Oryzias latipes: one gene and its partner. The protein of the gene in region 1 interacts with the protein of each later gene in a pairwise test. Links are inferred from orthologs where the notes say so. Each region holds a gene or a part of one and is shown on either strand. Other genes may lie near its edges.

The links.
Region 2: the proteins of poc5 (region 1) and cetn3 interact in binary tests that used the Homo sapiens proteins (3 or more experiments, as listed by UniProt). The link is inferred for Oryzias latipes from reciprocal best matches to the Homo sapiens genes POC5 and CETN3.

The regions. Positions count from the first base shown.
Region 1 is NC_019867.2:14,007,200-14,011,539, reverse strand, and holds the start of poc5 (centrosomal protein POC5), read left to right. Parts: upstream 1-1,379; 5' UTR 1,380-1,382; coding exon 1,383-1,433; intron 1,434-2,555; coding exon 2,556-2,624; intron 2,625-2,651; exon of another isoform or gene 2,652-2,770; intron 2,771-3,424; coding exon 3,425-3,508; intron 3,509-4,340. UniProt on the Homo sapiens protein: Essential for the assembly of the distal half of centrioles, required for centriole elongation. Acts as a negative regulator of centriole elongation.
Region 2 is NC_019870.2:1,965,692-1,970,152, forward strand, and holds the start of cetn3 (centrin-3), read left to right. Parts: upstream 1-1,628; 5' UTR 1,629-1,777; coding exon 1,778-1,794; intron 1,795-2,494; coding exon 2,495-2,627; intron 2,628-2,698; coding exon 2,699-2,813; intron 2,814-2,883; coding exon 2,884-3,075; intron 3,076-4,193; coding exon 4,194-4,237; 3' UTR 4,238-4,461. UniProt on the Homo sapiens protein: Plays a fundamental role in microtubule-organizing center structure and function. As a component of the TREX-2 complex, involved in the export of mRNAs to the cytoplasm through the nuclear pores.

The DNA of each region.
Region 1 (4,340 bases):
CAGTCAAACGTCTTCAGAAGGTTTTCACAAACTTTTGCTGGTAGTTTGGCCCATTCCTCCATGCAGATCTCCTCTAGAGCAGTGATGTTTTGGGGCTGTCGCTGTGCAACACAGACTCTCAACTCCCTCCAAATATTTTCTATGGGGAGAGATCTGGACACTGGCTAGGCTACTGCAGGACCTTGAAATGCTTCTATCAAACCGATTCCTTCATTACCCGGGTAGTGTGTTTGGAGTTGTTGTCATTCTGAAAGATCCAGCCATGTCTTATCTTCAATGACCTTGCTGATGGAAAGTGGCTTTCCCTCAAAATCTGACCATACATGGTCCCATTCATTCTTTTCTTTACACTGATCAGTCGTCCTGGTCCCTTTGCTGAAAAACAACCCCAAAGCACCACCCCCATGCTTTAAAGTAGTTATGGTGTTCTTTAGATGCAACTCAGCATTCTTTCTCCTCCAAACTCGACAAATAGAGTTCTTACCAAAAGGTTTTTGGTAATTTTGGTTTAATTCTCCCAATCCTCTTCTGGATCATTCAAATGCTCTGTAGCCAACTTTAGACGGGCTGTACACATGTACTGGCTTTAGCAGGGGGACATGTCTGGTGCTGCAGGATTTGAGTCCCTGGCAGCGTAGTGTGTTGCTGATGGTAGCCTTTATTACTATGGTTCCAGCTCTCGGCAGGTCATTCACTAGGTCCCCCCATGTGGTTCTGGGATTTTTGCTCACTGTTCTTGTGATCATTTTGACCCCACAGGGTGAGATCTTGCGGAGAGCCGCAGATGAAGGGAGATTATCAGTGGTCTTGTATGTCTTCTATTTCCTAATAATTGCTCCCAGAGTTGATTTCTTCACACCAAGCTGCTTACCTATTGCAGATTCAGTCTTCCCAGCCTGGTGCAGGTCAACAATTTGGTTTCTGGTGTCTTTAGCTCTTTGGTCATAGTGGAGTTTGGAGTGTGACTGTTTGAGGCTGTGGACAGGTGTCTCTTACATAGATGACGAGTTTATACAGGTGTCATTAATACATGTAACGAGTGGAGGACAGAGGAGCCTCTCACAGAAGACTTTTAAAGGTCTGTAAGAGCCAGTAATCATGCTTGTTTGGGACCACATACTTATTTTCCACCATAATTTATAAATAAATTCTTTAAAAATCAGACAGTGTGATTTTCTTTTCATTTTTTCTCGTTTTTTTTCTCTAATAGGTAAGGTATACCTATAATTGAATATACAGGCCTCTCTCGTCTTTTTAAGTGGGAGAACTTGCACCATTGGTGGCTGACTAAATACTTTTTTGCCACACTGTCTATTTTTAATGAAAAACTTTGTATTACCATCTTTTAACTGCTCTGTTTCTGTAATCAGCAAGTAGATCTCATGACAGCGCTGATGGGACCTCCTTGGACAAGGAAGAACTCAGTCCAGGTGGTGAGGCTGATGTCCAATTCTTCTCCTCCTCATAGCTCTGTCTTGCCTGAGAAGGACCATATGTCTCTTCTCTCCAGAGTCTGTCAGAGCACTGCCAAACTGCTGGGACTGCTGTGCCACAAGGGGTTCTATTTCTAATGAGCCAGTGGCCACCTCTGCCACATTACTGTTCTAAATGTTAAAAAAAGGACATGTATGTCCAAAAAAAATGTTTTCATTAGAGAGATTGTAAAACCCAAAATGGCAAATGGTAGGTTCTGATCTTCTTATTCTATGGATTCTTAAATCAAATTGAAGCCCTTCAACCATTAAAAAGCTACTTCTCTGGAGAGTTTTGTGACAGAACTGTTGCTCATTTTCCTATTTCAATAACTTTAAATAGTATAAATACCTATTTACAATTATTTGGGCAGACAATACCTCAATAATCAATATAAGATAATTCTCTTTGATGCTGCAACTTTTTCTTCGCTTGCCTAATCTCTGTGACTTTATCTCCCACACTTTAGTCCCACATGACACATTCAATATATGTAGAGCAACTGTAGTAACTGTAATTCTTGCAGCATTAGAGCTCTACTTCTTTGGCTAATTTTAAAACAATCAACTTTTTTGCTGTTGCTGCCATGATATTGATCATGGATCATTTCATTTACAAAACACTTTTAAGTGATGAAAAAATACAGAATAAACAAGACAAAACCTAGAAAAGGCGGATTTTTTTTTTAATAGCAAGTTGCAAGGTTGGTGTATGGGTTGTGAGTTTGAGACTCCAGATTTAAACCATTGACAGGTGTGTACAGGTAATGGCTTAAATTGTATTTGTAAGCCTTTTCGTTTTCTTTGAATGGGTAATGAATAACATGAAAAACAACGGAAATGTTCACAGGATTAATAAAGGGACATATGCTCTGTAGGTTCTGGAGACCCTGAAAAAAAATATTATTACATTGTCAAAGACCTAAAGTCTTACTTTTATTTTATTTTATTTTATTTATTTTGTTTTTAATTATTTTTTTTATTTTATTTTGTCCTGTTTTAAACAAATGTATTTATAGTCTTCGTTTCAAATTGGACTTTTACTAAAATTTTGTTTTGCTGGGTTTCCTTTAACTGCAACAGGAACACGCGTCTTTTCAAAAGTTCCGTTGCCATGGAAACAACTGGACCAACCATGAACGACGTTACAAGGTGAGTCCACAACAGAAACCAATCAGCAGGCGTGTTCTTTGAGTGTCACTCTATTTCAAAAGGCTAGGCCAGCACTTTCCAACTGGCTGCTAACGTGAAACCGAGTAGGTGGAAATTGGAATTTTACGAAGATTTTTTTGCACACAGTAAGTTTGTGTAGACTTTAGTTTTATTGCTATTTTTTTTAATCTGCTGCTATAAAATAATGTACGTCCTCCGGTGCTGTGTGAATGTGTCCCACAGTTGTCGAATTAGCTTAACACAGTTGGGATGCTTTAGCGTTATGCCAGGGTTTGTTAGATCAATTATAAATCTTGACAATATTGAAAGGTCAACTGAGTTAAGTAAGCTGCAAAAATACTACCTTATTTGAATTTTATCGTAACAGACATAATAAAATTGTTTACTTTGATAAGCATGTAACTTTTCTCCAATTTTAATTTCGTGACGTTTATTATAGCCTCAGTCTGGATTATACGAATTGGCGCCGATCATGTTCGAAAACATCTTGTTTAACCTTAAGACTGACTCGAGCTATATTGAGCTAACCCTCTACACACGTAGTCACAGGACCCCAGTCAAGCAGATAGAAAGATACTCTGGTAATATGTGATGCCCACACAATGTGGACGCCATGTCTTAAGAGCTTAAGTTAAAATATCTTTATATGTATTTATGAAGTTAACATTGCTTATCACATCTCATCTATGGGAATCGGTGATTTTTATCTCGCTTTTTTCTGCTTTAATGAGAAGTTTCATTCTTTTCTTGTTATTCTCTGTTGCTTTTCTGCTGCCCAGATGTCTTCAGATGAAGAGGATCCAGCCAGTCCTGTTTTACCCAAAGACTCAGACCGGGGCAGCTCTGTGTCTTCTGAGCTTCAGGTGGCTAAAATGCATCATAAAATGACTCATTACAGTCCCACCATTGTTTAGTTAAGATCCCATTTGTTTGAATCTTTCCTAAACATGTATTATTGCACACTTACACAAGATTGCTTATTTTTGTGCCCAAAAAAAAGGGGCAAAAACAGTTGAACTCCCATGTTTGAGTTCAGACACATAGGCCACAGTTACATAAAGTCCTGCTACTAAGTTATACTAATGAGTACATGGGTTTTTGTTTGATAGAAGACTTATCATTTCTCTGATGCATTTGTTTGTCCTTTTTTGCAACTCCAAGTTGTTTATTTTTGTTTGTTTTACCTAAAAATCTATTTACTTATTTATTTAGTTTTACAGAGGATTCATTGGTGTAAGCTGAAGCAAAGAAACAAGTTGCCTTAATAAAGGTTTTTTTTAGGCCTGCACAATATACCGCAAATTTATCGTTATCGCAATAGCCAGCTCTGCAATATGCATATCGCGAAAGACGGTGAATATCGCAATAAATCGTAAACCCAAAATGTGTTAAAACAATCTTATGGCAGCTTGAAGCATTTAACCCATCAAATAAATCCCTTTATGTTTTGACCAATCAGATGGACGCCTACCCATTGTTTACCAATCAGATGGAGGCCTAATATGTTAGACGATTGTCACCGATGTCGATGAGGGTCATTTGGAGTATAATTTTTAAACTGTTGCAATGAAATGGGAATAATGTTTTTGGTTATTTTTCTATTTGTTTATAGACCGCAAATTATATTGTTATCACCATATTGATCACTTATATCGCATTTCGCAAGTTTTCCTCATATCGTGCAGCCTTAGTTTT
Region 2 (4,461 bases), on another chromosome or scaffold:
CTTCAGGTTTTTTAAAAAGTGAAAACGTTCTCTGACTCTTTCAGTTTGATTTGGTTCTAGAAAGTGGGTTTGAGCAAATAAAGATGCTGCTTTCTGAGCCTGAACCTTACCCCCCCCCCCCCCCACTGCTAAATGTGCACACCTGTATACGTGCACGCCTGCACACGTGCACACATCCCTTTGGGTTCTTTAGAAAGCCTCCTCTATGACGCTGGCTAAATACCTGTGCCCCCCCCCCCCCATGAATTCTCAGACTGAGTTGGGGGTGGGGTGGGGGGTAAAAACAGGAGGGCTGGCTGGAAATCAAACACAGATCCTCCTTCAGCTGAACAGAAAGGAGAATGTTCTGCCTCCAGAATCCTCCTCCAGTCAATCATCGCAGTGAAACTTCAGAGGCTCCAGTAGGAAATTCATCAGGAGGAGTTTTTTTTATGCTGTTATTTTCATTCCGTCACAAACTACTGCCTGTTGTTGTTGTTACCACCTGTTTTTTTGTATTTTTTTCTGACTTAGACTCTGCTGAGCTTGAATCTCTCCTGAGGCGACATGGTTTTTCACTCAGGCGTTATCTAGGATGACACATGTGACACAGGAAACGCCCCGACGTGAGCCGAGACCGGGCGGCACCTTCATCCCGGAGCACCATGGGAAATCCCTGATAAAACTGAGACAAAGCCCAAATCAGGGGTGGGGGCACAAAGACCCTCGGGAAATGCTCCAAGCATTTCCAGAGGGTAGAAACCTCCGGCAGGATTCCAGAGAGAAGGACGACTGTTCAACAAGCCAGGACCATTATGGGTTACATGCCTTTAATGTTGACAGACAGACATCAGACATAACAGGACCGTTGACCAATGTTTATGAGGAAAACTTGTCATCAGTTCAGAGTAACAAGTTACAACAAATAAAGGGTGTGCTGAACTGTTGGAGGACAAAGTCTAATATTTAGGTGTTTTTAACATGTTCTTGATGATGGAGGACCATGTATGAAGAAAATTAAGCGCAAATTTTCATTTGTTGTGAATCAGGAGCAGACTAAAAAAATGCAGTTTAAAAAAGAAAAAAATGTGCTGGGCGGTGCCACAAGCTCCGTGCTGCGCTCCATTCCGATGCATTCACTGTCAGACAAATAGATCCATAAACATCTCTGTTTTCCTGGTCTGAGCTGGAGTCTGAACTGGACGAATGGACGGATCTGATGAGGCTGCCATTTTTGTTGCACCAGTAATGTTGGGGGGGTTGGGGGGGGGGCTGTTAGATAGCAGGAAAGAGTGTAAACAAAGGAATCATGGGAAATTAGACAGGCTTACTGTGTGCCAATGGCCACAACTCAGAGGAGAACCTCTGATGAACTCCTGTGGATCTGCAGAAACTGTCCTGTAAAACTGTCCACAGGAAGGGAAATAGATCAAAAGATGGCCGGAATGTGTCTTAAAGTTATCTGGATTATTCTTTTGTGAATCACAAACTGATTTTCTATTTAAAGTTTTTCTACATTTTATTTGACTTTGAAAAGGATTCCAGCGTCAGTATTAGCAGATGTAGCAATGACAGACGACAGCAGGGGGCGCTGGTGTCCCGCTTGGGTTCAGTTTGCTCCCGAAGAAAAAAAAACAGAGCGCCACTAAGCGAGCGCCTTGCTGTTGCCTAGAGACCACCGACCAATGAGGACCTCGGATCTGAGCGCGGACACGCGGGGTTTGTTTTTGCTCGTTGAGCGACAGTAGCCGTTCCTTGGAAGTGAAATCTTCGCGTTTGGATCTGCAATTCGATCGCAATGAGTCTGTCTCTGAGGTGAGGATCGCAGCTTTTACGGTGACGTCATTTCCGGTTCTCTCGCCTTGTTAGCCGACGTTAGCATGTCGCCCGTTTGCCTCAAACATTCAGAGCTTGTTGACCGGAGACTCGGTCAAAGGGCTGCGTCGGTCCAAACGGTCCAAATGTGTGTCTGTCAAAGGGTTCGGTTCGGTGGAGCTGTCTCTGAATCAATCTGAGCTTGGCTGAAGACGTTGCACCGAAATTCTGTGACCTCTCAGGTTCTGTCCTCGGTAGATAATATTTCACCTGATTTGGACTTTCCGGGACCAAAAGCTCGTTTCGGGGAATGAGTTCTTTTATTTTGAAATAACGTTTGTTTTTCCACCATATTTGGTCAAAGGTTCTCCAAATAAACCTGTTGTGACGTCAATGTGACAGAAAAATATCAGAAATAGGATTCTGTGGTTTGTGGTCAAATACTACGATAAGACTAAATGGGTCTGGGTTCTTATTGGCTCAAATCTGATCGGAGATCTCTGAGTTGGTTGAAGCAGGTTTCTCTCTCGGCTCAGAGTTTGCCGTCAGTCTTCTCCTGCCTTCATGTCTGTTCCTGACTGATGAAGATGTTCAAACTCTTGTTTTTTTGTCTTCGTCCATCCTTCACGGTTGAACGGCGAGGTTCAAGCTCTGGTTTGTGGTCACAGGGAGAATCTGTGACTCTGGTTTTGCTCCGCAGAACCGACCAGGCCGACAAAAACAAGCCTAATAAGAGGAGGGAGCTCACCGAGGAGCAGAAGCACGAGGTCAAGGAGGCCTTCGACCTGTTTGACACGGACAAGGACCGACAGATCGATTATCACGAGCTGAAGGTGAGCGGCGGCGGATCGGATGGAAACCGTGGAAACGAGACCAAAGGTGTCATCTGTCACGGTCCCACCAGGTGGCGATGCGCGCCCTGGGCTTTGAAGTGAAGAAGATGGACGTCCTGAAGATCCTGAAGGACTACGACAGAGACGGGAACAGGAAGATCACCTTTGAGGACTTCAGTGAAGTAGGTGAGTCACTGGCCTCCTCTTCCTCAGAGCCAGGCGACGAGGAGCCGCCCTGAAACGCGTCTGCCCGCAGTGACGGACCGCATCCTGGAGCGGGACCCGAAGGAGGAGGTCCTGAAGGCCTTCAAGCTGTTCGACGACGACGAGTCCGGGAGGATCAGCCTGAGGAACCTGAGGAGGGTCGCCCGAGAGCTCGGCGAGGACATCAACGACGAAGAGCTGCGCAGCATGATCGACGAGTTCGACACCGACAGAGACGGAGAGAGTAAGTCTGCATTCGCTCAGGTTAAAGCCACGCCCCCTTCACCGGATGACACGTGTTCTGTCGTTGCCGCGGAGATGAGGGTCAACAGCCTGTACTTATGTAGCTCTTATGCAGGTCTAACGCGTTTTAAGGTCACTCTGAAGGCGGCAGAGCTGCCATGACAACAGAGGGGCAAGGTGGGGGTTCAGTCTCTCGCTCAAGGTCACTTCAACGCATAAACCTGCGACCTCCTGATCGTAGGTGGACCGCTCTTCTCCCGGTGCGGCTCCTGCTTTAGAAATCCCATCGCTCTCTGACCTCCATGGCAGGAAGGTTCTGGCGTTCCCGCTCCGAGGTCGCCGGTGATTGGGCGGAGAGCGCGGCTCCTCCCCTCACGGTTTCCTCAGCTGACCTGTTCCAGAGTTTTAGCGACCCGAAGGCCCGTACACACCGGGACGAATATTCGCCAGGCGTTATTCGCCAGCGTTTTTCTCCACGTTTTTTGTGTTCACACCCAGGCGATTTTCGCTGACGATGAGCCGAGCGAACATGCAATTTCATTCCCTGACATTAGATGGCGCTTAATGTAAACAGAAATACTCCTGTACACAAGGTGGCGCTGCGCAACTTTACGCTTCTTAAAGTCGCTTTTCACTCAGAAGAAGAGAGCAAGTATTTACACGCTTGTCAGAATCAAACAAAGAAAACATTAATATTTCAAGCATCAGTAGCTCCAACTGGTGCTTGGTTCGGGGATATTTTAGAATGTCCGTCATTATTGCTTCGCGGCTGTGTAGACGCTACTTGGCGTCTATCTTCTTCGCTGGTATGTGTGCTCAGCAAGGCAGTTTTGTGTTTGAGCGCCCCCAAGTTGTGTTTTACTGTAACTTCAGAAGCTCCAGACACGTGAGCAAAAGCGCCATTCTCATTGGTCGAATAGATTTCGATGCGACGCGTCGAAAAAAAAAAAACGAACCCGAGGCGTTTTTTTTTTTTGACGCTTTAACGCATGGCGTTTTTTCGCGTCGGTGTGCACACTCTCGTTGGTGCCCTTTGTTTAGTCACGAGGCGTTTCGCCGACGAAATTCGTCCCGGTGTGAACAGGCCTTGAGAGTCTGAGCAGACCGGTGTTTCCTCAGTAAACCAGGAGGAGTTCCTCGCCATCATGACCGCAGACTCCTGAGGAGGAGCCCGGAACGCCTTCTGAGCTGGACCCAGACGTTTCTCCACAGAGCCAGTGGACGCCCCCTCAGAGCCCGTGAGTCTGAATCCCGCTGGACATGAGAAGACTTTCCAACAGTAAAAACTGGACTGACTTTCTGTAAAGATCAAGATTTAAGTCGATCTTGACTTTTGAACTGTTTGTGTGAGTGTTTTATTTATTTTTCATAAAATAAAGAGTGTTTT